Lytechinus pictus: one gene and its partner. The protein of the gene in region 1 purifies or fractionates together with the protein of each later gene. This does not show direct contact. Links are inferred from orthologs where the notes say so. Each region holds a gene or a part of one and is shown on either strand. Other genes may lie near its edges. The genes, in order: RNA-binding protein 42-like and SERPINE1 mRNA-binding protein 1-like.

Evidence for each region.
Region 2: the proteins of RNA-binding protein 42-like (region 1) and SERPINE1 mRNA-binding protein 1-like purify together in Homo sapiens (affinity purification with mass spectrometry; 3 studies listed by BioGRID and IntAct, with this or other methods). This does not show direct contact. The link is inferred for Lytechinus pictus from reciprocal best matches to the Homo sapiens genes RBM42 and SERBP1.

Annotation. Positions count from the first base shown.
Region 1 is NC_087252.1:34,935,409-34,951,393, reverse strand, and holds the start of RNA-binding protein 42-like, read right to left. Parts: upstream 6,425-15,985; 5' UTR 6,338-6,424; coding exon 6,285-6,337; exon of another isoform or gene 6,197-6,284; intron 3,542-6,196; coding exon 3,372-3,541; intron 2,437-3,371; coding exon 2,047-2,436; intron 1-2,046. UniProt on the Homo sapiens protein: Binds (via the RRM domain) to the 3'-untranslated region (UTR) of CDKN1A mRNA.
Region 2 is NC_087255.1:23,540,512-23,555,857, forward strand, and holds the start of SERPINE1 mRNA-binding protein 1-like, read right to left. Parts: upstream 6,226-15,346; 5' UTR 5,144-6,225; coding exon 4,936-5,143; intron 1-4,935. Other genes in the region: zinc finger protein 367-like, read left to right, coding at 6,226-6,598, 8,153-8,272, 9,139-9,283, 10,454-10,748. UniProt on the Homo sapiens protein: Ribosome-binding protein that promotes ribosome hibernation, a process during which ribosomes are stabilized in an inactive state and preserved from proteasomal degradation.

The DNA of each region.
Region 1 (15,985 bases):
CTTATCATGTGACCTCTGATTGCGCCGTGACATGCAGGTCTCCTCCGTACATCTACAACCCAAGGTTGAGTGAAAAGTAACTTACGGTTGCGGAGCTATGTGTCGCAAGAGAGTCGTGCACGTAAACTTTAACGTTGACCTGAAAATGACCTTTGACCTTACCATGTGACCTCCGAACACACTAACATGCAGATCCCCTAAGTACATCAACAACCCAAGTTTGGGTGAAAAGTGACTTTCGGTCGCAGAGTTGTGTGTCATAAGAGTCTTGCATGTAAACTTTAACGTTGACCTGAAAATTACCGTTTACCTTACCATGTGACCTGCAACTAATACTTAACATGCAGGTCTCATAAGTCCATCTACAACCCAAGTTTGAGTGAAAAGTAACTTAAGGTTGCGGAGTTATGTGTCATAATGTTTGTGACGGACGGACGACATTTGGATCCCTAAGTCTCGCCTTCACCTCTGGTGGGAGAGACAAAAATGATTCAAATTGCATTATAGATAGCTCAACACCTAAAGAGTATTTCTAAAATGCCAAATCCTTATTATGTGCTCAAGGCCCTAACAAAAGGGGGAAAAATATACAGAGAGGGAGGAAACAATGGATTAAAGAAAAAACAATCATGATAATAAAAGGAAACTACTTGGAGGCAATTTTCAACAAATGACTTTTTAGAGCAATTTTGAAACAATCGATACTTGAAATTTTACAAATGTAATATGGCAATTAATTCCACAAGGAAGGTCCAGCATGTGCAAACGACCGATCCTCCCATGATTTCTTGGATTTTGGAACGGCAAGCAATTTGGAATCAGAAGATCTTAAACGTCAAGGAGGATTGTATGGCATCAACAAATTTACAATGTACTCTGGGGAATATCCATGGATACAGTGTAAAACTAACAATAATAACTTAAATACAATACGGTACCCGATGGGTAACCAATGCAGTGAGGACAGAACTGGAGTTATGTGAGTAGAGCGTCTGGTAAGGGTAACAATACGGGCTGCAGAATTCTTTAATTTTTGTAAGTGTGAATGTTGGGATTAAGGAAGTTGACATAAAAGTGTATTGCCAAAATCAAGTTGAGATGATATCAGAGCACGTACTATCTTTTCTGTAGAGCAGAGCAGGTTAAATACTTATGAATGAAACCTAAATTTTGCAACTGATACCTGATTGATTTACACACGGCAGGGATCTGGGTAGACATAGACATTGTGAAGTTAAATAAAACTCTAATTCCTGCATGACTTAATGGCATAACATTAACATTACCAATTTGAAGCGTTTTCTAGTACAGCTTTAGAGCCTATAAACGACAACTCAGATTTATATATATTTCTAAATAATTCCAATTCCTCCATTCACTGATATGAACACAAGCATGAAGCTAATGACATCGGTCTGGTTTGATACCTAGTGAGATTTGTACCAGCTACATGTTACGTATGGTGCTGTGATAATATGGAACTAACACTAGCTTCAACACAGGAAGGTTCATCATCATCATCTGCTGTAATCTTCAAAGGGCTCTGCAGCCTATCACGAAGATGAACTGAAACTTGGACGCACGTTATGAGGAGGAGTGAGGAATATTTTCAAGGTGATTTTGCAGAAGCTTTTGAAAGCTGTCAAGCGAGACTGCATTAACTATTTGGAAAGGAAGTTTATTCCATTCAGGTACAGATCGTTGGGCAAAGGCAAATTTGTCAATATTGCCTCTTGGACGATATGTCTGAAAACACTTGTTGTGATTTTTCCTAGTGACAGTGGTGCTTAAGGAGAAGAATTTGTCTTGGGGTATTGCAGCAAGGTCATTTACAATCCTATACACCATGCCGAGTCTGCTTACAGTGCGTCGAGAAGACAGACTAGGCCACTTCAACTTGGTGAGCATGCTGGTTACGCTGCTGGTTCTACTGTAATCAGCTAAGACATAGCGAGCCGCTTGCCTTTGGATTCTTTCCAAAGGTTAACACCGGACTTGGAATCACTCAGCAACTTTCAAACATTATCTTACTAGAAAAGAACAAACCTTCTTTTTTTATAGCTGTCGGTTCATCCTTTGACTCTGTTGACTTTTCTTTCTTCACTTTCTTCTTGGATTTCTTATTCAGAACTGGTTTAGATGCATAGGTTGTAGGCTTGGCAGATAGAGTGACTGGTTTCTGTAAATTAGGTGGAGCTGGGGGCATCATTGCGAAGGGGGGCATCGGTGGGGGAGGGAGGGGACCCATCATGTTAGGTGGAACCATGTTGGGCATTGGTCCCATTGGGCCTCCAGTGTCCATAGGGGGAGGGGGTGGAGGGGGTGGTAAGTGGGGGAAACGAGGGGGGCCTTGTGGTCTCTGGTTTGCCCTAACCTGGTGAGGGACAAATCCATGGTGTTCCCTTGATGGTCTGTTTGGTCTTGACATATTTCCACCTATAACAAATGAAAAACATTCTTGTCATAACTTGCTATAAGATCAAATGTATGTATTACACAATCTAACACAATCTAATGTGTTTTGGCTACCAATAATGAATCAGTATATTTCATTGCTTTTATTTTTTTCATTTTTATAAAGGGTGATGAAAATATCCCAATGAGGCTCTGATTAGTGTAAATGCTGTAGAAAAACAGTGAAAATATTGCCTGACAAGACTAGTACATAAAACAAACACTCCTTTTCACTACTTGATTTTCTGCATTTATTGTTGAATCAAAATAGAAATTCATAATAGGGTTAAACATTTGAATTTCATTTCAAGCAATAATTATAAAAAGAATAGTTGTATGATTCGAGTATTTTCTACAATATTACGGCTGTTACATTATTATGCATTTGTGGTTAATTTCTCCTAATAAACACAATATAAACTGACTATTAATTGAATTCAATTACTTAAACAGATTTGATATTTGTTTGCTTTAAGTTAACATTATGGAATCACTGATGTTTTATTGTAGTTCGGTTGATTTTAAATTACTGATTATATAGTTAATTGATTACTTGACTGATATATTTCACAGCCATTTATATCATAACAAATTGTGATTTATTTACATAATCCACATTGCCTTTAAATACACTTCAAAGCTTTTCTCTTACAACCAGAAATGTATCAAGGTAAATTTGAGAAGCAAAATAATTCCCTGCATGTAATAGCATTTATCACAATATTTGGGTGAATGTAAATCTTTCACGGTGCCCATATTCGGCTATTGTGTGAATTGCATGACTCTCAAAACAGTACGTTTTCACTCACGCTAGCAACAAGAAGGATCTGCTATACAATATAAATTTGTAATGCAGAAGTTGCCATCTCATTCTGTTGATGATATCAGCAGAAAAGAGAAATTATCTTCAAACTTACCAGGCCTGCCCATCTGTCTTGGCTGAAAGCCAGGTGCTCTAGGAATCCTTTCCCTTCCTTGGGTCTGCCTCGGCTGGAATTGAAAACTTGATGCTTTATGTTCTTGACTTTTCACTGCTCCCCCAATAGGTGTTGGGTCCTGTGTTAAACTCATAATCTCCTCCTCAAACCTAGAGAGCAGCAAAAAGAAACTTGGGGTAGGTTAGTTCTGTAGTGGACAAAATATTGTGCACTTTACATACATGTATTATTATTCTCCTATGAATAGCAAATTGGATTTTATTGTATCATTGCTAGTATTTGCCAAGAATATTTTTTCCAGAGGGGTAAATATTTCATTCCTTGCAGGTATTGTCTTTTTGTAGTTGGTTTCCTTATTTTATTCAGAAAATACAGTTTGCTAAATCAGATAATGGATTTGGAACTTTGATTGAGTTAACTTATATTAGTGCAAGGGAGACATAAAAAAATATATTAATGAGAAAATGAAATAATGATTTTATGTGATAATATAAGAAATGAGAAGGGGACAAGATGCGTCATCAGCCCATCTAATCATAACAACGTGCATTTATACATGTGTTTTCACAGAATATTGACTAAACGTTAAAATTAAATTTTCCGCATTTTAAATTTTACTTTTAGATAGATGTAGGCTTGTATAATTATTTTCTACAAGGAGTACCCTTTTAATAGTATCATCGTCACAATCAAACTTTTCCAACATGTCAACAGAAAACACTCATATTTTCTGTCAAAACTTAAAATCTGGTATTGATCAGTTGATACTGATAGCGTTAGTCGTCAGGACAGCCATGCGCAATGCCCACCTCTACCTCGAGCGAAGTTCGTGCAGGCTCCACTCCACTTCACTACCGCTACACTACGCTCCACCTACCCGAACTTCGAGACCATGAACTCGATCGGATATTCCGAGTGACAAAAGGTGGGATTTTATGGGGAGAAAATACAAAATTCATGCAACATCACGATCTTTAAAAACAAGTACAACTAATATTCTTACTTTACACACAGTTTCACTTCTTTTCCATGCTTCTATCAGTCTCAAAATTGATGATTTAGAGCCAACATGAAGTTCCTCACACGTAATAATTCGCTGCCGATTTCAGAACATCGCATGTGCGCGAGGGTCCGAGCTCGGACCAGACCCGGTACCTCCCGCATGCGATGTTTTGAAGTCGGCAGTGCATTAATATTTATACGTGTGAGGAACTTCATGTTGGCTCTAAATCATCAATTTTGAGACTGATAGAAGCATGGAAAAGAATAACCCAGAGAGCTCCGGCCCGCGTAGCGGGCCGGAGCCCAGACGCTCAGTGTGCAATCGGGCATTCAGACGAGAGTTCCGTGAAGTTTGGTCTAAATCATTTTGATAATAAATAATTAAAACAGAAATTAAGCACTTACCACGATTGTATGGATGATAGTCTAACGAGTGGCAGTTTCCTGACATCGAGGCACAGACTGGAACCTCAAAAAACGATAAGTTCTGTCGCGGTAGCTCTCCTCTTTCAGAATTCAACACAAAATGGCCGATCGAGACCGAGGCTAGTATAGCACTAGCGCATATAGACTTTGTCAAATTCGCGCATGCGCCCTACACCCTCTCGAACGGCCATTTTGCTATGAATTCTGAAAGAAGGAGAGCCACCGCGACAGAACTTATCGTTTTTTGAGGTTCCAGTCTGTGCCTCGATGTCAGGAAACTGCCACTCGTTAGACTATCATCCATACAATCGTGGTAAGTGCTTAATTTCTGTTTTAATTATTTATTATCAAAATGATTTAGACCAAACTTCACGGAACTCTCGTCTGAATGCCCGATTGCACACTGAGCGTCTGGGCTCCGGCCCGCTACGCGGGCCGGAGCTCTCTGGGTTAGGAAAAGAAGTGAATCTTTGTGTAAAGTAAGAATATTAGTTGCACTTGTTTTTAAAGATCGTGATGTTGCATGAATTCGGTATTTTCTTCCCATAAAATCCCACCTTTTGTCACTCGGAATATCCGATCGAGTTCATGGTCTCGACTCTCGAAGTTCGGGTAGGTGAAGCGTAGTGTAGCGGTAGTGAAGTGGAGTGGAGCCTGCACGAACTTCGCTCGAGGTAACCATGATCGTGCTACTGTACTGAATTGGACAAGCTGGCATTGGTGCATCGAGCCACGGCCACCATCTATGCATATTAATAGCGAATAATGGAGATGTCACAGAGAACAAGTTCATTGAATGAGTGGGCCTAACTACATACAATACAAGTCACTGACATTTATTTGGAATCTATTCTAACGTTAAATAAAAAGATAGGCCTAAAATAAATGAAAGTAGGCCTAGACTAGTTGCAGTAAACACTGATTTCACGAGAAAGTCTGTAAAAGCAGGCTTAATTGTCATATCATCGAGGATCTAGATCTGGTAGTGGTACAGTTACACAAACTAAACTTTGTGAAATCTTGAATTGAAACCTACGCTGAAAAATGTTCACACTGAAGATCACCAACAGGCAACACAGATAAGCGCACGTGGGACAGTGAATTATTAATTGCTTTGATTTGAATGTCGGCCCGAAGCTTGACCCGAATCCCGTACTTATTTGCTGAGTGATATCTCAGCAATTACACAATTTCTTCCAGAATCCTTTGCCTTTGGCACATATTTTTTATTCATACAAACAGACACTTTGGTGGTCATTTCATTGAATTCTGTACAAACTCATTTTGAAATCGTTAGTCGTTACCATTTTTACACAACTGGCATTTAAGATTTATCTTTAAAAAAAAAAAAAAGTAAATTCACGAAAAAACTCTACCTCTACAAATCAAAATGGAACTTCATATCATATACCGGTATGCCTGGAGGATTTTAATCACCAATTTGTCAAAGATATCATAACAAACCTGCTCATTTCTTCCTCAATGGACTTCATCTTGCCTCCGCCGTTGGACGACATGTTGTCAAAAGAGGATAATTACCGGTATGAGGTGAATTTCAGCGGTGGTGGTGGCGCGGAAAAAAATGTGCAACTCGTACGTCACTCTCAGTGACGGTTCTCCAATGAATATTCATTAGATCGTGGTCGTGCGCGTGAACAGTATAGGGGAAGGCGCAAGTTGTGACGGGGTTGTGACCCCGGGGGGGGGGGGCCACTTACATTGACGAGTGGATACCATGCGCAACCAAAAAAACACGTAAAAAGGATGTCTATTTCAAGATAGGGCACGTTACGTACGTAACGTGATAAGGGTGTCAAAAACACAAAAATATTGAAAAAAGGGTATCTATTTCGCCCGGAAAAATATACGTGTTTAGGGTCAAATATGCGGGGATGATGAAACAAAATCAAAATGTTTTATAAAGGATGTCCTTTTTGCCCCACGTGTTTAGAGTCCGATTTGCGCGAGGTGTGGAAGGCGGGGCCGTACTAAACCAAAATAATGGTGTCTAAAGGTAAAACCGACGACCGACGGACGCGTGTCATAACAATGAAATATCTCTGTACTTGTTTAGGGGTTCATTTCAGGGAATACTTGCTAAGAGTATCGTTTTGTTTCCAATACTTGTTAAGGGGTGCATTTTCAGAATATGGAAAATACATCGCTGTACTTGTTTAGGGGCTCAGTTCTGGGAATACTTGCCAATAGTATTTGTTTCCAATACTTGTTAAGGGTAGGGTTTCACACGCCAATACTTGTAAAGGGGTGCATTTTCAGAATATGGAAAATACGTGTTTAGGGTGCTTTTCAAGACCCCGTGGTCGCGCATGGTATCCACTCGTAAAAGGAAGTGCCCCCCCCCAGGGTCGTAACACTTCTTGCATTTTGCTTTTTAGAATTGATATGACAAATAGTATGGTAGAAATAAGTGGCCAGCCTTTAGATTTGACTCTTGGGAAATATTTTTCACCTATATATATATAACTTTCTACCCCCACACTGAAAGGCATTGTGACCTTTGAAAAAAACAATGTCAAATGGCTCAACTTGCCCCATCTGTGCATGGGGTAAATTGTGCCACCTTCTACGGTAAGTTGAGCCCCAAAAACTATGTACAAATTGTATGCAGGAAGAACCAGCATGTAAATTTTTTATTTAAAGTCTTTTAACTTGCTAATTCTCTATGAATACTAACATCCTCTAAAAGTAAAAGAACTGTCATGTGAATTTGCTCCTTTCTGCCTGCATATCAATGCAGTGGCGTACCGTGGGTCACGGCATTGGGGGGCACCAGCAAAAATTTAGAGTCACTATAAGTGAGCGCGCGAAGCGCGCCCAGTTGCCAGGTATACCTGATAGAGACATTTTAAGGACAGTGCCATTAAACGGATATGTCTCTCACTGGTCAAATAATGCGAGCGGGAAGCGCGAGCTTAAAATTTTTGATATTCAGACCTAAAAAGGGACATTATAATCAATCTTTTGTAATCATGATACGTACCTGTCTCGCTAATGCGAGTGCGAAGCGCGAGCTGAAATTTTTGTAAATATTGACCCCCAAACAAGAAGATTTTAAGGACTATATTTTAGGAATCCATTGAGAGTATACACATCTCACCATAGTCATCTAATGCGAGTGCCAATAAGCGCTTACTGATTATGTTAGAATTACATCTAAACATGCACATAAAGCACTTCTAATCATGATTAACATACCCATCTCACTAATCAAATCTTGCGAGCGCGAAGCGCGAGCTGAAAATTTAGGAAATTCAGACCTGAAAAGGGACATTTTAAGGTTTTTTTGTAGAAATTCACGAAGACCATACGTAGTTCACTAACCAAATGATGCGAGCGCGAAGCGTGAGCTGAAAATTTTTGATATTCAGATTAGAAAGAGGGACATTTAAGGACTGATTCTAGGAATTAATGGAGAGCAGACATATTTCAGCAATCCACTACTGCAAACGTAAGCAAGGACAGAAAATGTTTAAATCAAGACCTTAAAATGGGGCAATCACTTTAAGTAGTCATGAAAAAGAAGCATACTATTGTACATAAAACAAAATAACTCGAAGTGCGAGGAAATATATTTGGCAGTTTGGTGTATATTGACTTGAAAACGGGAGGTTTTAGTATAACAGGATTATATATCTCGGTAAACAGACAATGCCAACGGCAGGAACAATGAAGACATAGGCCCTGAGCAAGTTATGTTTCATAAAGTTATGAAAAAAAATGTTTCTTATGTAATATAACATAACATAATTATGATATAATATAACAGTGTAATGAATAATAATGTCTTCTTTCCCACTACGTTTCTCTTCCTTTCTCCCTCTTTTTCTCCTTTTCCCCGTTTTTTTTTTTTTTTTTTTTTGTCAGCCGATTGGGGGGGGGGGCACGTGCCCCCCATGCCCCGTAGTTACGCCACTGTATCAATGGCTTTTTAAGGTTTTTTTTTTTTCATTATACATTACCATAAGAATTACTATGGCTCAAATTGCCCCATGTAGGCTGGCTCAAATTACCCCAGTCCGAGCTTAATGCGACATTTCTTATGCAGCCGTCATGTAAAAGACTACGACAAGAATGAGAATCAATACCTGGACTAACAATATTGTTCTTATTTCTTAATTATATTTTAAGACGTGTGCGGGTAAAAACACACTTATCTATTTCAAACCCTTTTTTACTTTTTTGGCTGAAATTTGAATTTTTCCTCTAAAAAATTACTTTTTGTTTCAAAGTTGAAAACAATGTGGTGGGGTTAAGGGTTATGTAATGGGTCATCAATACACGTCACCACCACAATGTCTGACTCATTCATTATTGGCCTGGGGGTGGTGGCTCAACTTGCCCCTATGCTCAATTTACCCCGCCTTCCCCTACTGAGTGTGCATGTGCGCTATGAGGGAGGCAGGCGCGGAGTCAGGAGGGCGGTGGGGCGGTCACCCCCCCCCCTCCCAAGAAAAAAGAAGGGAAAGGGAGAAAAAGAAAGAAAGGTATAGCTTTGTTGTTTTTTCCCTTCTTTTTGGAGGTCCGACAAGAATAAAAACCTAGACGAGACGTTCTTCTCTCTTCATACAAAATTTTGCTCCCGCGCTCCGCGTGGGAAAACTATAAAAATTGCCATTCCCTTTTGTTTCCCACACCTTTTTTCTATTCCGTTTTACCCTTCCCGGCTGTATATATACCGTATATTCTTGCCATAAGTTATAAAGTATACATAGTTTAATTCTTACATTGGAAAAGTTTAATTTCAGCAATTTTTTTATTGAGGCAGTTAAAACTTTATATGCATCTCGCCATGCCTATGTTTTGAACAATGGTTTTCTAACTGAACGTGTCCCTATGCATGGAACGAGGTATTTTTCAAGGTTGTCCGATTTCTCCATATTTGTTTTTACTTGTGATAGAGATAATGGCAATATCAGTCCGACAAAACAATGCTATTAGAGGTATCCCACTTGAAAATGAAGATGTTAAAATATCTCTTTTTGCTGATGATTCGGTATGTTTTTTAAATGGTTCTGATAATTCTTTTTTTTTGAGCTTTTTGAAACCTTGCAGAAATTTGGAAATTTGGAAATTCTGGTTGCAAAATTAATTTCAGCAAAACTGAAGCAATGTGGATAGGTTCTAAGAAGGGTGATCAACACTTCCCTTACATAAACCGTAGTGTTTCTTGGAAGGCTTCAAAATTTAAATGTTTAGGGGTAGTTTTATATCTCAATGTTGTACAAATTTATGAGTCAAATTATAAAGAGAAACTAAAAAGAATGGAGCAAACTTTAAACTGCTTGCGAACTAGAAATCTTTCTCTAATTGGTAGAATCTGTGTTGTCAAAACTCTTATTTTGCCACAGTTAATCTATTTTTTCTGTTCTTTCTGTTAAATTACCCAAAGCCTTTAAAAAAAAAAAAATTATTTTTTAAATTTATTTGGAATGGAGGCAAGGATAGAGTTCAACGTAAGATAATGTGTAATGATTATACTCAGGCTGGACATAGAATGATTGACCCTTTTTCTTTTGCATGTGCTCAAAAAATGGTCTGGGTAAAACTCCTATTGGATGAGAATTTTGATGCTCCATGGAAAAAGATTGAAGTAGCCTTTCTAAAAAAATATAATCATGATATTCAAATTTTGTGGAAATCTCATGCTCCTGAGAGCATTTTAAACAGTCTTGGTAATATACAATTAGCTGAAGCATTGAGAATACATGTGGTATTCATTTAGGGAGGAAGCTGCTATCGAATTTTATGGTAACAAATTTTCAGATTTGAGTGGTTGTCAACTCTTGTGGTATAACAAATTAATTCGTTCAAAATCTAAACTATGAGTATCTTAATTATCCAATGTGGCAGGAGAGAAATGTCTTAATGATGTCAGACTTATTTAATCCTCCTCTTTTAGGTCTTCTATATGCTTTTCACACTGCATTTCATTAACCCCATACTATCCTTAACCCCGGACTATCCTTAACCCCATACTATCTTTTTTTCGATTCACACTGTCTTTCTTAACTCCATACTATCTGCTCAACCGTGGTTAATGCCCTATCCGTGGACTATCCCTCAGCTCATGAATATTGATGATTTTACCATACAGAGCGTGATTAATGTGCAATTCGACTTCTGTGATTGGCTAATGCTTAGCCCCACTTTCCTTACCCCTGTTTCGTTTTCACACTGCATCTCTTAGCACCGGCGCAATTTAGGTCTTTGAAGAGCTTGTGTTAGATTTTGGAATCCCCCAAACAGACAGAAGGAAATATAATTTTTTAATTAAATGCATCCCGGAAGAATGGTTGGTGAGTTTTGACCCTGATATTATTGGTGTTCATGAAACAATTGTACATAAATTGTTGAGTTATAAAAAAAGTCCCTAGAAATTCATACATTTTATTTAGGGGATCACATACACCTGACAAAAGATACTCTTATTGGGATGAACGTTTACCAATACCAGTATCTATCGATTGGGAAAAGGTACACTACACAATTTTTTTTTGTACCATTGATACTAAATTAAGATCATTCTATTTTAAGATTTTTCATAAAGCCATAGCATTAAATGATTTTTTGTATAAGATTAAATCTAATGATTCACCCAATTGTGTTTCTGTGATAAAAGTGAGGAAACAATAGTCCACCTGATTTGCGAATGTGAAAGGGTAAATTTGGCAATCCCTTTTAACGAAAATTTCCCAAAATAATGTTCAAATAAATGGTTCTAATTTTGAAAAAAATGTTCGGACTCTCAACTGATAAGTTCATTTCATACCTTTTCTTACTTTTGACGTATTATATTCATACATGTAAATTTAAGAATAATCCTCCAAGTTTTGCTCTTTTTAAAACATTTGTTAAAAAACAACAGGACTTGGAATATTTTATAGCTAAGAAAAAAAATAAGTTGCCCACACACTTTAAGAAGTGGCGATTCACCTTATAATTTGGTTTTCAAAAATGTCAGCAGGTTACATGATAATTAAACACTGTATATTTTGTATAACAGGCTTAGTGCCCCTTTAAAAAAAAATAATACTGCACTGTATTGGTTATATGGTTGTAGACATCAGATCCCATTTTTTCATGCAACTTGTATCTCAGTCTCCTTGATATACTTGTTCGTTTAAAAACCTCCATAATTATGTCGTCTTGGATTACCAGTTGTGTTTTTTAATCCCATGAATAGTTGTTTGGAAACCACTTCATAATCATAGCTTGTATATTTTGTTTTGTCTACTTTATTTACCAAATCACCTATCTTTGTTTAGATAACACTGATATTAAGTCATCACTTTGCCACATTTCTTTTTTGGGGGGTGGGGGAGGATAAGTGGATAGTTTTTTTTTTATTATTATGGTTGTTATTTCGTCTTTTTTTGTGTAACTAACTTGTGTTTATGTAATTTGCAATCACCTAATAATCATTTGTAAATGTTGTGATTTATTTCAATTTGTTAAATAAAAACAGAATTAAAAAAAAGTATACATAGTTTAGTTAGTTTAGTTTACTCCAACGATGTTGTAAAGGAGTAAGCCTGTTCATCGATCAAAGTAGAATGTCTATTGCTGCTCTCCTTCAGACAAAATTAGATGCGCCATTTATGTTGACAGGGAGGGGTGGCAGGGGTATCGTAGACAGCAAAAATTCCATGAAAAACACACAATCGAAAATCATCTTCTCCCAATGCTTATCTAGTCTATTCTTCAATGCAATCACTGAACAAGCAGTAACTACATCTTCTGTGAGACTGTTAATTCCACATGCACACATCTATCACTCGGTTAGCAAAAAAAAAAACTTACGTACATCAAGACGTGAATATCTTTTCTCTAGCTTTAAAGGGATGATCCGGGCTGAAAAAAATATTGCTAAACTTTAAACTTCAATAACTTTATTATTTGTTATCCGATTTTGATGAAACTTTCGGCATTTTGCTCAGTGAATTCTACTCTATGTATTAAGATATAAATATTTTCAGCCCGGACCATCCCTTTTAATACTTTGTATCAATTTAGTAGCTCTACGTTGGACACTCTCTAACCGCATCTGGTCACCGTATAAGCTGGGTAGCTTATACGGTGACCACGCAGCCTGGCCATACTCTAAGATTGGGCGAATAATAAGGCTTAATTGAGGTCTTATCCAAATGTACAAAAGTTCTTCTTATAATACCAAGCAGTCTATTAGACTTTGACACCACTTTACATGGGTGTTAAGATTAAGAGTATGAAATTTTTTTTTCATATTGCATTGACACAAAATTTGGGCTCTTCTGTTCGGAGTGGGTAAACATTACCATTACTCCCCGAATCCCCAGCAAATGCTATTTTCTTCCGCTTTTCAGCAAGTAATTTTTGGCAAAGTATCCGCTCAAAGGGGGGGGGGGCATTAAATTCGTGCCATGCTATGTGCAAAAGTATAAAAGTTTATTCTATATCGCTGCACATCCATCTCCTGTCTCGTTTTGCGCTATTGGTTTGACATTTTGATTATCACTGAAGTTTCTTAAACAAAAGGAAGCGCTTAATATGAGAGAAATTACGCAATTTTCTTTTCTTCCAAAATAAGCATATACAGGAATTAAGGAAAAGTTCCTCTTTTAGCTCGCACCAACCCTTTCACATTTTGAGCTCGTTTTTCTTCTTAATCGAGTAATACATAATCTAAGAAATTTAGAAAATTTGAACAGGTTAAAGTTTCAGAGAAATTTCTAAAATTGCAGAGCTTCAATGCTGGGCGTTGTGGCGTGCGCCTGTAATCCAAGCTATGTAGGGAAGTTACAAATTGATGCAGAGGTTCGAGGTTCGTCTTTCGGATGGTGACGTTAAAGGTCGGTCCCAGACATAAATAATCATATCTGATTGATACACGTCTGACAAAACTCAAATACACACACACACCATAGGCGGATCCAGCTTTTGGCGAAAGGGGGGCGCACTGCCGAGCGGCGCACATATTTTTGCACTTCACCGGCGCCATAAAAGAAAATGTTGAAAAAGGGGTAAAGTCTGACCCTGTCAAATGCTCTTTTAAAAATGTAGGATTTCCAGTCATGCCATTTTGCATGACCACACGCAGTTAATAATTCAAGACTCGAAAATTTGGTGCACATCTCACATTTGCACATTTTTCATAGCTTTCATGAAATGTTAAGGAAAAAAAAATTGTTTTTCACAACAGCAGATCGCGAATGTGCCCCCCCCCCCCCTCCTTCCCCCTTGCTGCATACGACCATTCCCTGAAGTCCACTTAAACATATCTCATTATAACAGAAATATACATCAATTTAAACATATAATCTTTCTAAACATATATAGAGAAAGATTGAAAAACTTATTAAAGAAAGAAACAAGCAAAAGTAACAAAAATTATGCATGTTATGTGCGATTTCAAAATATCGTGTACTAACCCTTTTATTGCGATGAGGCCAATACTTTTGTATATTAATAGAGATACAAGTTTTTTTTACTATATGTATATATATACACTGGGGCGTCGATCCTTTTTTTAAGATTTGGGGGGGCAAAATCATGAATCAACTTTCCAAAGGCGCTCGATATCACACAAAACAAACAAACTCACACAAAAACACACACTTATGCATATATATATATTTATATGACTCATGAGATAGAAAACATATCTCACCAACAAATTAATGCGAGCGCGAAGCGCGAGCTGAAATTTTTTAGTATACTGACCTGAAAACAGGAAAAAGGTGCCTGTTTAGGACTGTTTGTAGTAACTCATGAGGAGGATACATATCTCACTACACAGATAATGCGAATGCCGAGGGCGAGCTGAAATTTCTTTATATTCTGACCAGAAAGCTTGATATTCTATGCATTTTTGGTACCAATGATTAAGATGGGTATCTAAAAAAACAATAGATGCGAGCGCGAAGCGCGAGCTTAAAATTTTGATATTTCGATCTGAAAAAAAATGACAGTTTAATGGACGTTTGTAATAAAGAACAAGATTATATCCAGCAAAAGATTATTGCAAATCGAAGCGGGAGTTCTTTTGACGTTTAGTCCTGAAAAAGGGACATTCTATTCATCTATTTAATCATGAAAAGTATGGGGTTTTGCTACAGAAATGATGCGAGCGCGAAGCGCGAGCTGAAAATTTTTATATTCCAATCTGAGAAGCGGATAATTTAAGCACGATTTTAAATAAAGAACGAGTTGTGTAGCTCAATCTCAATATACGACTGGTTGCGTAATTATACACTCCCGGTACTAGCAACGGGTTTTAGCAAAGTTTTGGGCTAAAATATCGAATCATCTTCATAAAACACTATAGCAGCTGTCTTAAATAATTGATCAAAATTTTAAGTTATTTATGTAGAAATGTCAAAATTTTCACGCTCGCATTATTTGATTGTTGAAATATGTAACGTCTAAGTGAGCTGGCTAAGTGCAAGCAGTCCTTAACAGGTAGTTTTCGATCAGTTCAAAAAATTGTTCTGCTCGCACTCTGCACTCGCATTATTAGTGAAAGGAAGATCCCCACTTATACTCATCCTTTTCATGATTTACAAAACTTGAATAAAGAGTCTCGTTTAGTAGATCTTAACCTCAAAATATTCCGCTCGCGCTTCGCGCTCGCATCATTTGCTTAGTTATTTACCTATATTCTGTTTAAGTTACAATTAGCGCTTAATATTTACATTCCTTAGGTAAAGATGTCAAAAAATTTCAGCTCTCGCTTTGCGCTCGCATTATTTGATTTTTAGAATATGTAACGTCTTCATGCATGGCTAGCTGCAAGCAGTCTTTAACATATACCTTTTCCATCAGTTCATTTCTTCTCGCGCTCACGTTCGTAGTAATTATTCATTTTCATATGCACATCTTTTTCAGGATAACAAACAATGCATTGCCCAGAATGTTAAAAATTTTAGGAAAAAATACATAAGATTTCGCGCTCGCATTATATAAATGAGGATTATGATATTTATAATCATTAAGAATAAAGCTAAGAAGTGACTATATTAGGACTACCCTTTCAAAGAAAACCAAAAATCATCTTCGAGCGGCCGATCTGAGAAAATATGGCTGATAAAAAAATCAGCCCCCCCCCCACCGATAGGCGAAGGCTGGATCCGCCCCTGCATACACACCCCCCCCCCCCCCCCCAGTAC
Region 2 (15,346 bases), on another chromosome or scaffold:
TGTGAATGTATTTATGAAGATATTGTCAGTACCTAACAATGTAAATAAGATACCATATATGTAACCGTATGTTATCTATGGTGATTGGGAAATCTATACCTTGGATCGGGAGGGGTACGTGATTCAACAGATTCCAATAGAAGTTCACATTCAACAATCTGACAAGACTTCATGAAGCATATTTCTGATGGAATTGAACAATTCATCGAAAGATATAGATATCAAGTTAATTGATTTGTCTGAACGTTTAGGAGCATGTATTTCGTCTGTTCACCCCTATCTCTACACGAGTTGATACTATTTTTATTTGAATATCGTTGGAAATTTTGATGAATTGTTCAATTTCAATTGTCTTTATATATTTTATATCTGAATAACGCTTCAAAAATAGTTATCTTTACAACGGCATCGGCCTAATTTGTAAGAGTGCCTATTTATGAAATGAAAGTTGGAATGTGAACGAGAACACTCGGCCCTAAAGCCGATGGCACGTGATCGAATTAGTATTGCTTGAAAATGGTGTTTCCCGAATTCCCGTCATTGGGTGAAATCCTCTTCTGTAACTTTAAAACTGCACTTCTATGGAAACTTACTGAATCACTCACCTCTCCCCAGTACAAGAAAACATTTCCAAAATCGCCCAAATTAAGATGTAAAGATTAATCAACCATCATCGTAATCAGCAGTGACAACATTCGCTTCGAACACCCCCCCCCCAAACACACACACATGATCTCAATTCTCAACATCCCCTCTTCATTTATGGACCACTTTCTCTTTTGCTCGATCGCTCTTTGCGACCATCCTACCCCCCCCCCCCTCTCGCACACTACACGCTGATGCAGAGTAGCAACAGTAGCTCCATGAGTGTGGTATGCAAAAAAATTAGGCCTGTCGAACTATTTTCATAACATTTAGAATCGTATTTAAAAAAAAATCGTGAGGTACATGTATGCATTATGAAAACATTCGTGATCATGGGTGAACAAATGAAAGAACAATAAAAATCACTGGCGGATCCGGGGGGGGCACAGCCGGCACGTGCGCGCCCCCCCCCCACCATTGAGAGGCACAAGTAAAATTTGGAATTTAAAAATGGTGTTAAAACAGAAGCGTGCCCCCCCCCCCCCTTTAGAAAGTGAAGACCAAATCCCCTTAATTATTTTTGGTTGAAACCCTTAAAAAAAATCCTGGATCCGCCCCTGAAACAAATGAAAATACTTATAATTCATATTAAAAACGAAATAATTGGATACGAATTATAAACTTTAACAGAAAGCTATTAAGTATGAAAGTTATATTAATTTTATCCGAAATTGAAAAACATTCAATTTATAAAGAGAAGTTTGGGACCCCGTCTAATGAATTATTAATTATTTGGAAGCCTCGGAACAATTAATCTTGGGATTTCACGGACCGAGGGGCTATGTCCTTATACCTCGGTCACATTATTTTGCTCTACGGCGGCCATACGGCGAGTCGAAAACAGTCGTTTTAATATTGTTTTTGTACCAGCTTCATATTGGTGGTTTATCCATGTATAAAAATGAATAAAAATGCTGTTTTCGACTCGCCGTGCGGCAAATGTGACCGAGGTACGAGTCTGTCATAGACATGAAAAACAATGGTTGACAGAACCAAAACACGCATTCAGAAAATTAAATCACAATTTCAAAAGATGTAGAAAGTATGGGGTAAATTTATTGATCAATATGTGAATAAATCTGGCTTTAAGTAACTTCGTTGGACTTTATATCAATCCTTTCCAGTTTTCCATTAAAAGATGTTCTTTAAATGTTGACGTCCTTAGTATAGTAGTCACATTTGCTCTACGGCGGTCGTACGGCGAGTCGAAAACGGCCGTTTTATTCATTTTTATTCAAACCATGTATATGTACACTGGTACAAAATAATGTTAAACTGCTGTTTTCGACTTGCCGTACGGCCGCCGTAGGGGAAATGTGACTGGGGTATTATAGTGACATATAAAAATAATAAAGTTGATGCAGTTGCAAATTGTTAAATCTTTATTAAAAGAAATCATGATATAGGGGTTGGCTTACTCTTTACAGTTTGGCTTTAATTTATTTTTGATGATTTTCATTATACTTTTCATGAACAGTGTTTTACATGTATTCCGTGAAAGTGAATGTCATTCCAGAATTCCATGTTTTTTGTATAATTCATACTGAACTGGAAACTCTTATTGAAGGCAAATTTAATGCATAAGAATTTATTGAGCATATATATATATATATATATATATAATTTATATTTATATGTTAAGAATAATTCAAACAATGCTGTTTACTGTGTGAATCCCATAGTAGTTTAAACAGTTTAAACAAGTGTTCAAAATCTTAAACAACCATGCTTTATTTATTGATGATTAAATATTAGAGTTTAAACTTTGTTGTTTATAAAGTTCTTAAACACTTGTTTAAAATGTTTAAACTACTATGCAATTCACATATTAAACATTGTTTGAATTATTTTCAACAGTGAAACAACATAATACATAAATTAATTACAAATAAATCACAAGAACATTATGACCATATATACATAATAGCATTTTTACAGTGCATCATTGTTGACAGAATGGTTTTCGATCCTTCTCAGCATCATATTCATAATTTGTAAAGATTATTCACTTCTTCAATTTTAAGTAAAAATAAAGTTGAAAGATTATCTCATATAAAAATAAAATTGTTTTTATATCCGAATATCGTCGTCTTGATTTAGTGATCCCCAAATCCTTCACCTTCTTGAGCAGTTGTAAAATGCGATGTGAACTTGTAGCTCTCGACCTTTGTCCTTTGGGTCTTGTGAAATACAGTCTTTCAATCAGTGTCAGTCATCTTCGGATTATGCTGTAGATTATACAATGAAAATAGACCATAGTTTGAACTTTTGAGTTTGATTTATTGCTGTCATAATTGGTAATTCAAAGATAAAAAAAATTGATAAGAAAAAGAACAGGGCAGGAAAATATTTGATTTTTGCAAAAAAAAAATACTGAAGGAAACAAAATCAAAATCAATCTCCATCCATATCAATTTGGTACACATCCGCACTTCAGTGATTATAATTTGCATTATTTTTCAATTTAATTTCCTGTATTTCTGTAGGGTCTATAATTATTGATATTATCATAGAGCTATAGCTCTATGATATTATCATGTCTCAACAATTCCATTGATTGTCCCTGGCTTTACCGAAAAAAAAAAATCAGTGTCCAGTTTTAAAAGTAAAATCAGTATCACGAAAGTCCCAACAAATAAAATGCCCAAACTTATATTCCTAAAATACTACGAGTATGATATTCGCCATTCCATTAATACAAGCAGAGCTTCAATTTCAGAGCCATACACAACAACAGGTGCAGCTGCCATTCATTACATACACGCCCCAAGGCCGCATGGCCGAGCTCACACACATTCCACAGCCATTCACGAACCATGCACGAACAACCGAGCGAAGCCCGATCACAACACAACGTACGCCATGCTTTATATACACCATTGCGGACTAAGCACAAACACCACCGCAAAACAGTTCACAAAATAAACCTCGGTGTAGACGGTTTTCCGTATGTCGCTCTGTACCAATACATGTCGCTCACATACACTTTGCACACATTGACACACAGTAAACAACGAACACAGTCGTGCGATTTTCACTTCTCGACGGTAAATATCTTCAAAAATATGACTTACCAAATGACGAGAAGTCCGCAAAATATCATCAGATTTTCCGAGGTAATGTAGCTACACCGTATGAAGAAAATGAGATTTTCAACTCGAAATCTTGAAGGAAATACGTCGTGTTTAGTATGAGGTTGATCGGTGGTTCGCAGAGAAACTTCTCGCACTACATAGGTTTTGTATTATGGGAAAATATGCAAATGAGAGCCAAAACACCCAATGAGATCACAGCTCAAGATTTGTGAATGAAACATGACGTCACGCACTACGCTGGCGATCGAACGAGCGTATCGCGCATGCGCGGGTTTCCTGTACAATTCTTCTTTGTGGTCTGTTGCCGTGGTTATCCACGCTATTTTATTCATGAGTCCACTCTTCAAACAGTGGACTCATGAATAAAATAGCGTATCTAACCATGGTAACAGGCGTCAATTTGGCACACTGTGACAAAAGCGCGCATCAGCATTGGACATTTTTTAAACACACGCCTGATACGTGCGAAATTAAGCGTAATTTAAATCTGCATGAACCATGGATTCAACCATTGGTTTTCAAAACCACCTTTGTGAATTCGGGCCTATATTTTGATGAAATAAAGACAAAAACCGATGAGCCCCGTCGGGGGATTTTGCATTAACCCCTAATGGCGCTGCACGATCGCGAGCTGTCCGTGTACGAGGAGGAATACATGTAAAAACAAACTCCTTGAAACAAATGGCTGCCAGCTGTAGTCCCTGCTGCCTGGGCCTGGTCAAATTAGCTGAACCGACAGTCGGACTGAAGTTGGCATCCATTTTTCTTTTCCATGTGGAATTGGAAATTAAATTCATTCATAAAAATCATGGCTTCATGCCCCTCATTTATTACCAAACAAATTTTTTTAATTTCAAAATCAACCCTTACTTAACAGTACTTCTTTCCACAATACCCTGGAGTCTAAAGTTAGACCTTTATATTCAATTGCTAAATAGTAAACGCAATGTCAATGTCAATGACTGCAATATCCCGTAGTCCGTACATCACGTGCGGCATGAACATGTATGAAAAGCATGCCGGGTTAGGGTGGTGGTGCACGGAGCATGGAGAAAATTTATTTTTAGGCCCCACGAACATAATTTTACAAGATGTTTTAAAACCTACATATTGAATGGGGGAGGTAACAAAATACTACCTTAGACACATCATAAATCATACATTTCATTTCTAAGAAAAAAGGAAGCTTTCATACCTTCTTTCCTCGATTTTTGCTCAGGTTCTGGGGCCTTTTTGGCTGGTTCTGGTTTCTTCGCAGGCTTTGGCTGTTTGGGTTTGCTGCTTTTCTCCTTCTTCTCCTTCATTCGTTGTTCCTTTTCAGCAAAGATATCCTGTGGATCGGACACCGTATCCATGTCCAAAAGGAAACGGTTACTTACTCCTATAGTGTAAGTAACCTCCATTGTGATAAAATCCTTCGTTCTATGAAGGATTAGAAAGATATTTAACGCTATAAAATGCGTTCTCTCAATGAAACCCCCGTCATTAAAAATGGCGATAAAACTGTACACAAAGTGAATAGGAAGCACGCGCGGAAAAATAGCTATGCAATGTTTACATCGAACGAGAGCGAGGGCTCGGCGGCAGGCATGCTGCGCTGGAAGGATCCGTACTTCGAGCTTCCAGCCTGCGCTAGATTACGTACGTCATGCATATATGGTACGAGTTAGTACAGTAGCATATCATGCATGTTCGCGCGCTCTCGCTCTCTTGGACAAAACATTTAAAAGGGGTTCAAATCCCGGGGTTCAAATACGTTTATCTGATTCAGATCCCTTCTGATAATAATGAGGTATAAACCTGAGGTGAAAGAAAATCCTCATTAAGTTGTAAAAAAATCATACATTAAATATACATGTCCAAAATATGAATAATTCATTTCTAGCGACCATTATATACACCGAAATACCCCCCTTTACTTTTAGATTCGCCCGGTTTTATGAAAATCGGGAATCATAATCATATCAAGCGAGACTGCAAGAAAAATGTCCTGCAAATTTAAACTTTTTATCATTTTCGTCTAAGATAAGATCAATATCTTACACAGTAATCAAGGTAAATAATCCAGGCAAAAACAAATATTGCTTGTAGTACCGACAAGACAGCTGATAACACCAATTACCATATATGGAAGTTCAGGTTTTGTCTAAATCTTACTTTATCAGGGATCGACTTAAAAAGCTGACAAAAATATGCTTTTTTACAACATGAGATGAACGAAAAAAACTATATAAGTTTTTCATTATATGAAAAATGAGTGAATAATTCAATTCTTTCAATGTATAAAAAGAGAAAAGGGGGAGCAAACGAGTTATCTCTTTGCAAACAAAATTAAGTTGTTAGTTTGAGGCTATCCTTTAAAGAGCCCGCTTGAAAAAAACTCCCATAACACCTTGCACCGGAGCATTTTGTAGCGCCAAATTCGAGATCGGTTTGTTGTAAACGCGCGAGATCAAGAAGAGAACGGGACGACAGACAGCTGAAAATGGCTAACGTTTTGAAGAATTCGCCGTATAAGATCATGCCTAACACTGAAATTCGATCACCAGTTCGACCACCAAAATTATCGTTGACGCCTTTAAGTCCTGTGAGTCCTGGAATCTGCTACTTTTATCCCTGGAAATGGTCGGAGAGTGCAGGGAACGTCGAGCTCAGCCCATCTGCCAGCAGCAGTTCTTGCGGTGGCTCCCCGCCCGTCGAACGAGGGTCAAGTAGGGGGAGACCGAGGGCAGAGACGGTGGCAGAGTTGCAGAAGGCAGGGAGCAGTGAAATCCGTCGAGATGTCATTCAGTGTATTATTTGCGATCGGATCTTTCCCCGAGAAAAGTCATTAACAGCACACCTTCGAACGCATACAGGTAATTAATTGAAAGAGAGTGTCAAAGAATCATCATAAATGATAGGGCTCGCTTTGGTTTGGCTAAATTATAATAAAAATTTGGACATCAGATTCAGATGTCAATTTTGTCATCAGTTCTCATTTTCTCAGTCAGACATTTATTACTTGTATTTACAGTTAGAGAATAACGTAGTGTAGGCTATGCTAAACATTTTGATTTGTGTGAAAGATCATGTATTTTTTTGGGTGAAAACTGCTGAGCTGACCTAGTTACATAGTCATAATTATAAGTTAACCTTTTTTTTCTTATGAAATTATATGATAATGGAGGAAGAAAACAAGAAAGAAAGAGACAAGATTTATCTCTTTGAAAAGAAGTCTATTCGTGAGCTATATCATGACATGACTAAGTTCAAGTTTAGGCCGTCAGTATAAAAAAAATAAGACCTTGTCCTTGACGAAAGACGAAAGTCTATTTTGCTAACTGGGGCAGGGGCTAGCCTTGAGGACTTCGTGATGATATTTTTAAATATTTTGACATATACTTCTTCATCACGAAGCCTTGAAACCCCTTCCATAGGCATATAAGAGGACATGTAAACAAAGATGGATTTCCCTAGAAAATCCATCTTTGAAAATTGAAGATAGAAATAACGTAAATTTGTATCATTTTATTTATCTATACACCTTCATACGCCTAATCATATGCGTATGAAGGTGCAAAAATATGTTAATAAAAAGGTTAAAAACGAGAGGTTACATACCAGACCGATCTCGTGTAGATCCCTCGATCCATTTGTAAACAACGCAAATATAATAGGCTTAAGGCTTGACCCTTGAACCGCTTCGTCATTATGTACCTTCGATAAGCGATGTTACAAAATGTTGTTTTGAAGAACAATTTATAGATAAAAATTATTATTTAAAGGTCAAGTCCACCCCAGAAAAATGTTGATTTTAATCAATGGAGAAAAATCAAACAAGAATAACGTTGAAAATTTCATCAAAATCGGATGTAAAGTAAGAAAGTTATGACATTTTAAAGTTACATGTATGCTTATTTTTCACAAAACAGTTATATGCACAACTCGGCAACACACAAATGAGAGAGTCGATGATGTCCCTCACTCACTATTTCTTTTGTTTGAATTATACAATATTTCCATTTTTACAGATTTGACAATAATGACCAGCTTTACTGAACCATAAAATGTTAGAACAATTGTAATTCCCCATGTATACATGGAGGAAGAAAACTTGTTTCACCTTCCAATGAGGAGAAAATTAAAATATTTTATATATCATATAATAGAATACAAAAGAAATAGTGAGTGACGTCATCAGTCCCCTCATTTGCATACCAACCAGGATGTGCCTATAACTGTTTTGTGAAATTTACCAAAACTTTAAAATGTCATAACTTTCCTATTTTACATCTGATTTTGATGAAATTTTCAGTGTTATGCTTCTTGGATTGTTCTCTACTTGTTCAAATCAACTTTTTGTTGGGGTGGACTTGTCCTTTAACAAATTTTAACTTACACATTCTTTGTTTTTATCTTCTGGAAAACAGGAGAACGTCCATATAAGTGTGACTATCCAAACTGCAACCGAGCTTTTGTTCAGAGCGGTCAGTTGAAGACCCATCAGAGATTACATACAGGAGAGAAACCTTTCGCTTGCTCAGTTCCAGGTTAGTCTTGCTTGACCCAGTGGGTGTTCCTTAAAGCTGTTCATAAGTCAAGAGCAACTTTAAGAACGACTGGTGATCCTTTCTTGTGGTAAATAGTATACACCAAAATGTTCACTGGCGATGGTTTAGTGCGTAAGATAGGTTCACCAGTCGTTCTTAAAGTTGCTCTTATTTTACAAACGGCTTTATTAAACACCCCCCAGTATTGCCACAGAGAAAAGTTAGAATTAGCCAAGAGCTGCCCGGAAATATGTAGTTAAAATGAAGAAAAAATCCTCGATCCATGTTTGATCCATTCAGGTTTCTTGAATTCCTAGAAAAGCAAAAAAAAAAGGAGGTACTTACCAGCAGGATTGATTCAAATTCCAAATTATACTGAATCTAACTTTTTCAGATTGGATTTGGTTATATTCCAGTTTGTAACATCTTCAAAATGGGGATTTGTATGACTTAAGCAAGGAAAGAAGATTTGTAAATTAATAATGATGGAAAAATAGAACATTATTCCATCAAATAATGTATTTTTTTGTGCTTCTACTTATTTCTCCACAAGTTTTGCAATAATACTTAATTGCAAAATATCTCCACTGGTATACAAGTTTCTAACATTTGAATATAAGAGGTTTTGATGTACATACACATGTGTACTGTAATTCAAATATATTTTTTAAAAGGGATGAATTTAAATTGCTGAAGTAGCAAAATTTGTTTATGAAAAACTAAAAGGTGCAGTATGCCTAAAACTGAAAATTTCAGACAAAATGTAATTCATTTTAAAAAGAAAATAATTGAGGTTTAGCGTACCCAATATTTAGAATCCTGGACATAATTGCTAAGTGCCTTTAAATGTTTTTTGTTGTTGCCAGGTTGTCAATCCAGATTCACACATGCAAACAGACATTGTCCGGAGCATCCATATGCCGGCCTTCGTCGAGAGACAACCCAAGTACAGGTGGAAGAAGTCGTCAGGACCGATGAGAACAGTGAAGAAGTTGCCGAATGGTTACAGAGGTAAGTTAGAGAAGAGAACTTTAACGTCTCTAAAAAGCTGTTGCTCAGGGTCACTCCGTAACACTTTCATTGGCAACAGTAGCCTTGTGGTTTATCTCTTTATCTGAAATGATTAGCAAAAAAAAAAAAAAAAAAACCCTTGGTCAATTTGTATTTGTTGACTCCTTCCACCACTTAGCAATTCTGTCTGACACTTCAAGTAATATGAAGTCAGTCTATTAAACAGGGGCATACACTTCTCCCAGGCCAAATTAAAAAACTAGATTTTGCTGTGCAATGTCATTCTAAGGCCATGGTTGCAGATGTCCTTTTGATTAACCTCAAAGGTCAAGATCCCCTAATTGGCCAGAGATTTTTGTTGCCATTCAAATCTCTTTAATTTGTGCTATGACATTGGAGCATTCCCTTCAGAAAGTCTGGTCTTGCCCTGAGGACACTTTAGATTTAAGGCCTGTAATGGGAGAAATACGTAGTTGTACTTCATGAAAGTAGATCCTGTGATATTATTTCTGCAAGCAGAGTGGTTTTCCACCAATAGAAAATAACAGGTGCCCACACCTAACATCAGCACTATTGGTCATTCATTTGTTTCAGAGACCCCCAAAATATTATTGATACCTTTAGAATTTAAACAGTCTTTAGCTATCAGTATTGTCATTTCATATCCTATTGCTCCACATTCTGGTGAATTTAATATATATATATATATTTACTTTAGTATAGGACCTGTTTTTTGCTTTCATTTCCAAATTACCTTTATTATGGATCCGTATGATATTCATGCAGGTCATTTTGTTATATGCGTATTTGCCATTCTGGGTGCTATTTTTGTTCTGGTTTTGAAAGTTTATGACATTAATTTGTAGTGAGACTTCCTGTATACCATCCACTTGTACAAAAGAACCACCACTTTATTCTGAATGCTGACTAGTTGTAATTGAGTTATACCTACTTAAGCATGTATCATTCATGCAACTTGCTCATAGAGACTGTTTTATTGTCTACAAAGGAAGCCTTGATGTAAAGGGGAGCATTTCATGAAACAAAATAAGCTTCTGGAAATCACTGACGATAAACTTTTCATGAAATGCTTCCCAAAGTCTTAATGTATCTTGCATTCATGTATTTTATTTAAAACAACATTTTGAATCTTTTTGTTTTTTTGTGTAGGTATCAAAAGAGACAAGTAGAAGCCACTCTTTACAGTTCATCAAGCCCACTCATGAGAACACCTACATCCAGACGACCCAGGGATACAAACACTCGTAAGAGGCTCAGGACCGAGAGCGTAGAATCTAGTGACGCGGGCGAGGAGACAACACCAAAGCGTGGACGGAGACCGATGGTGAGGCAGCTCATACGAGAACAACAACAAGAGCATAAGGACAAATTATTAGGGGCTATGGCCCTAATTGAGCTCGCACAAAATACATTTGGAAACTCACAGTCGATCTCTGAAAACTAGATTGATACTTTAGAATGATTTCTAGCTCAAAAAGGAACATTTGATGTGATATTTTTATATTTCTGGCTGTGACATGTGGTTTTACAGCCTTTGAGGAGATGACTTGATGTCTGCATGGAAGTTTTCAAGTAGATGATGTTGAGACCAAACTCCTTCCCATCAAAACAAACTTTCATTTTAAAGACTGAGCATGACCAAGATGAATACTTCATTGTAACAGTTTTTACAAGCATGTTTTTGTTATTAGTTTATTTAATTTTTTAAATTTCCCCATCGCTATGGAACATGAAAGACCTTTTTGCACTATAATCATGCATAAATTTAAATTGTAAAATACATAGGAATTATGGCAGTGCTGAGAATGTTTAAGAGGGCAAGTATTTCCATTTTCCTCAATTGGTACAAGTTACAACTGTATCTATCTACCAACTACCCTGTTCTTAAGATGACAAATCCCTGTGGATGGTAGTGTGTGTTGGGGGAGGGGGGTAGAGTTTGTGTTAACTCAAAGGACAAGTCCACCCCAATAAAAAATGGATTTGAATAAAAAGAGAAGAACCAAACAAGCACAACACCTAAAAATTCATCAAAATCGGATGTAAAATAAAGTTATGACACCTTAAAGTTTTGCTTCATTTCACAAAACAGTTATGTGCTAATCCTGGTCAGGTCAGTATGCCAATGAGGAGACTGATGACATCATCCACTCACTGTTTCTTTTGTATTTTATTATATGAAATATTCTAATTTTCTCATTGTCAAGTGAAACAACAATTAATTGATCCATGAACATGTGGAACTTGCATTGTTTGATACTTTGTTTCAGTCAAGTTGGTCCTTATAATCAAATCTGTAAAAAAAAAAGAAATATTATGATTCAAACAAAAACAATAAAAAACAAAAGAAACAGTGAGTGAAGGACATCATCGGTTGTGTCTCATTTGCATGTCACTGAATTGTGCATATCACTGTTTTGTGAAAAATAAGCGAAACTTTAAAATGTCATAACTTTCTCATTGTACATCCGATTTTGGGCTTAATTTGAAGGCCGGGGGGGGGGGGGGGGGGGGTTGTAAATGTCATGTGGGCATTTTTGCTCTGGCGAGTTGTTGAATGGGAATTTCTGCCATGATCAGAAGTTTACAACCAAATCTTTCACTTTCAGAGTATTATAGGTATGTTTGCTGTGCATATTTATATTAAGGAAAAGAGAACATGGTTAGGCAAGAACAGGATATTTCATGGATGTGATAGTACATTTTCTATTTTATTAAAATTGTATTTTAATATAGCGGATAGATGATTGTATCTTACTGAGGGTATGCTAGTTTGTCTTGTGGGTATAACAAATGTGCTCATATAAATGTATGTAAAGCTGGTTAAGCAAGGTTTTCAATATTTATCACTGCTTTTGGTCTTTGAGAATATCTAGATGCTACATACATGGTGTATATACATGAAGATGTATTCAGACTTTTGTTTGATGAACTACTTTGTAATTTATTCTCTTCACAATTGATGCTAGAGATGTATATCAATATTTTGCTGACATCTGTTGAATGTAAGCATGTGAAAACATCACATGGTATGTCATAAAAACACATAATTTCTGTGTATCATTAAGATTAGGCGTGGGTCACATTCCTCATTAAGATAATTGAAGTACTCTTACAACATAAAAGGCTGTATTATTAATCTTATATTTTAATGCTTCTCAAAGCTGAACAATATATATGTTTAATTTCAAACTTCAGTGTCTTTTTTTCTGGATCGTGACTTTTGCATTAGTTCAGTAGTACATTTACGAGCTGCATATTAATGATTTTTTTAATTTAAAAGAAAGGTAAATTAATTTAGGGGGTGGGGTCGTGTAGGGGCATGTGGGTCAAAATGGACGCTGTACAGCCAAATGTACTTGTGGAATATGCAAGAGCGAATGCATCTTACAGGTATGTTCTAATTTTAAAGTTATGTTCTAATTTTAAAGTTAATCTTTTATAGTGTTTTTTTAGGCATCAAATAGTATATTTTATTGTAATTTTGTACTTGGTGTTTGTAGGTTGTGATGTTTGTTTTGTCTTCATTTTTTTTACTGAGTGTAACTCTGTAAATATTTATTTAATGTATGTCTTTACATTGCCAGGTCAAAAGCAAGGGATTCCTGAAGGACCGTTTTATTTCTATCATAAACAAAAACTTTCATCGCTCATTTTTAACAAGAATTTTTTAAGAAATCAGTCATTTTGCAGTTCGAACAAGATCAATCCACGTTAAGTTTTCATAGAACATCATTTTTAAACCTGTAATTTGAACATACACATTCATGCCAACTCTGAAATGGTGTTAGTAAGTGGAACATTAGAAGCATCTCTATGTGATAGCTTATTTTGTCAGTTGATATATTTAAATAAGAATCAGGGTTGGGAAAGAGTTTAAAGAATTAAGTTTTGAAAATGGATCAAATGCAAAATAATGTTTTCTTTTACAGAAATATCTAATATCTGTATGTTTCTATATTCAAATTTTAAGAATTATTTTGGTAATCATTTTGAAGACAGTGGATGATTTCATTTTTTCCCTAGCTCCAACACCCTCAAAAGATCTAAATTACATTTATGTTAGGTAAAATCCCAGTGAGATTTATCGCAGGACAATTTGCTATTGTCGATGTAAAAATCTGCACCACTCCCAACATCAAAACAAATGCCTACGCTAAAAAAAAGTGAAATCCTCCATTTACCCCCTTTTTTTTTTGGGGGGGGGGGGGGGAGTTGAGGAATGTGTCTTGATATTTTTTTATAACAAAATGGCTGCGTGTATATACTGCATTTACCAATGCCAGGCCAGGGGCCTATTTCAAAGAGACTTGCAGGTATGGTAACTACCATGGTAACATGGCTCAGTAGTCAATCACAATTAAGGTTTCCATGGTAGATATAATAATGACAAAGTTACAATAGTTGCAAGTATTTATGAAATGGGCCCTTGGTATATTCTGCCTGTCTTGTATCCACTATGCGAGGGAAAGGAAACTGTAAATAGTAACATAAATGTACATACATTGAATGTATGATATAGAGAATAAAATATGGATATATATAAAACTGATTTGATCTGTAAAGTTTTCATTGTAATAATGTAATGGTGCAGTTGATATTTTAAAAGACAACTTTGTGCTTAGGTCCAATCTCTGGACCAAAGAAGTCTATCACTTAACTTTAAGGGGAATTCAGTCTTGGTACTAAAATTATTAGTGTGAAAACAGAAGTACAAGAAAGACAGAGTAACAGAAGTTTGAAAGAAATGGAATACTGTGATGGCAAATCTCAAATTTGCAGATGTGGTGAGTGGATTGTGATTTGTGAAGTAGTAGGACCTGGATCATTGCTAATTATATTAAATAAAGTGGAAATTAGATCGACTGGTGAGTTGAGGATTTCTCGATGAGAATTAGACTTAGGGGATGTTGCAAGAAACTATTTACAATCATTTGCAAATATTCTGTTGCAATCTTACAATTGATAGATCAATTTTAACTGAAGCAAATCAGTTTACATTGCTTGTTTTAACCCTAAAAGAGCCGGGTTATTTGAACCCCTCTTGCCCTTCGCCGCAAAAATTTGCAGTGGTAGTGTGCAATAAAATCTACAAGGTTATTTTTTTTTAAATAGTAAGATTTTTCATTTAATGAATTAATTATGCTAATTTATGCATGAAATAAAACATTTGCTCTAATCAAGTATCATACGGCCAAAAAACTGCTATTTTTTTATTTAGAGACTCTTTGTAGGATCCTGATCAAATGTATCTAAAAAAAAATTTGGTATTGCAATTTTTAATTGTATTTTTTTTTTTTTTCTTATGTATTTCTTTGTTTTTTTACTTTGTTTTTTTTCGATGGAAATTGTTGCAGACTTAATTCTGATCATAAACAAGACAAAATTAATGAAGTTTAATCAGTAAAAGTAGAATGCATTTATGAATTTTGGCTAAATACACAATTTGCATTGGATTTGTACATAAATCAATGCGCGACATTGGCACCGGTCCCAGACCAGTAAAAATTGCTGTTGGGCCAGTAATTGTTCAGATATAGCCAGAATTACTGGTCCGACATGACCAGTAAAAAATATATCAAATTGATACAAATTATATTTGTATCTCTTTTGTAAATCATATAAATGTCTCTGGCATCTTAAAAAATGGCTCTCATGAATTATGTTTTGTGTACTGTTTGGTTTTATGATTTTTTTTTTTTGGGGGGGGGGGGAATAAAAGCAATAAAAGAAAGCAAAATATTCTCAATTTTTTAATGTTATGTTTTTCTTTATTTTTGGGGGGGACCAGTAAATTTTAGGTTCGGACCAGTAAAAAATTGAAACACCGGGTATCTACTGGTCCGACATGGACAGGTTGGACCAGTAGGAAAAAAGGTTAGTGTGGAGCCCTGCATAAATAACCGTTTTTGAGCAGTTTAGGTCTGACATGCACTTACATAATGTTGCGTAATTTCTTAAACGCGTACCCGGGCATCGCAAATTTGGTCTCAAAAGTTGTGCGAGATTTGAAAGTAAAAAGTCAGCAAGAGGCGCAGTTGA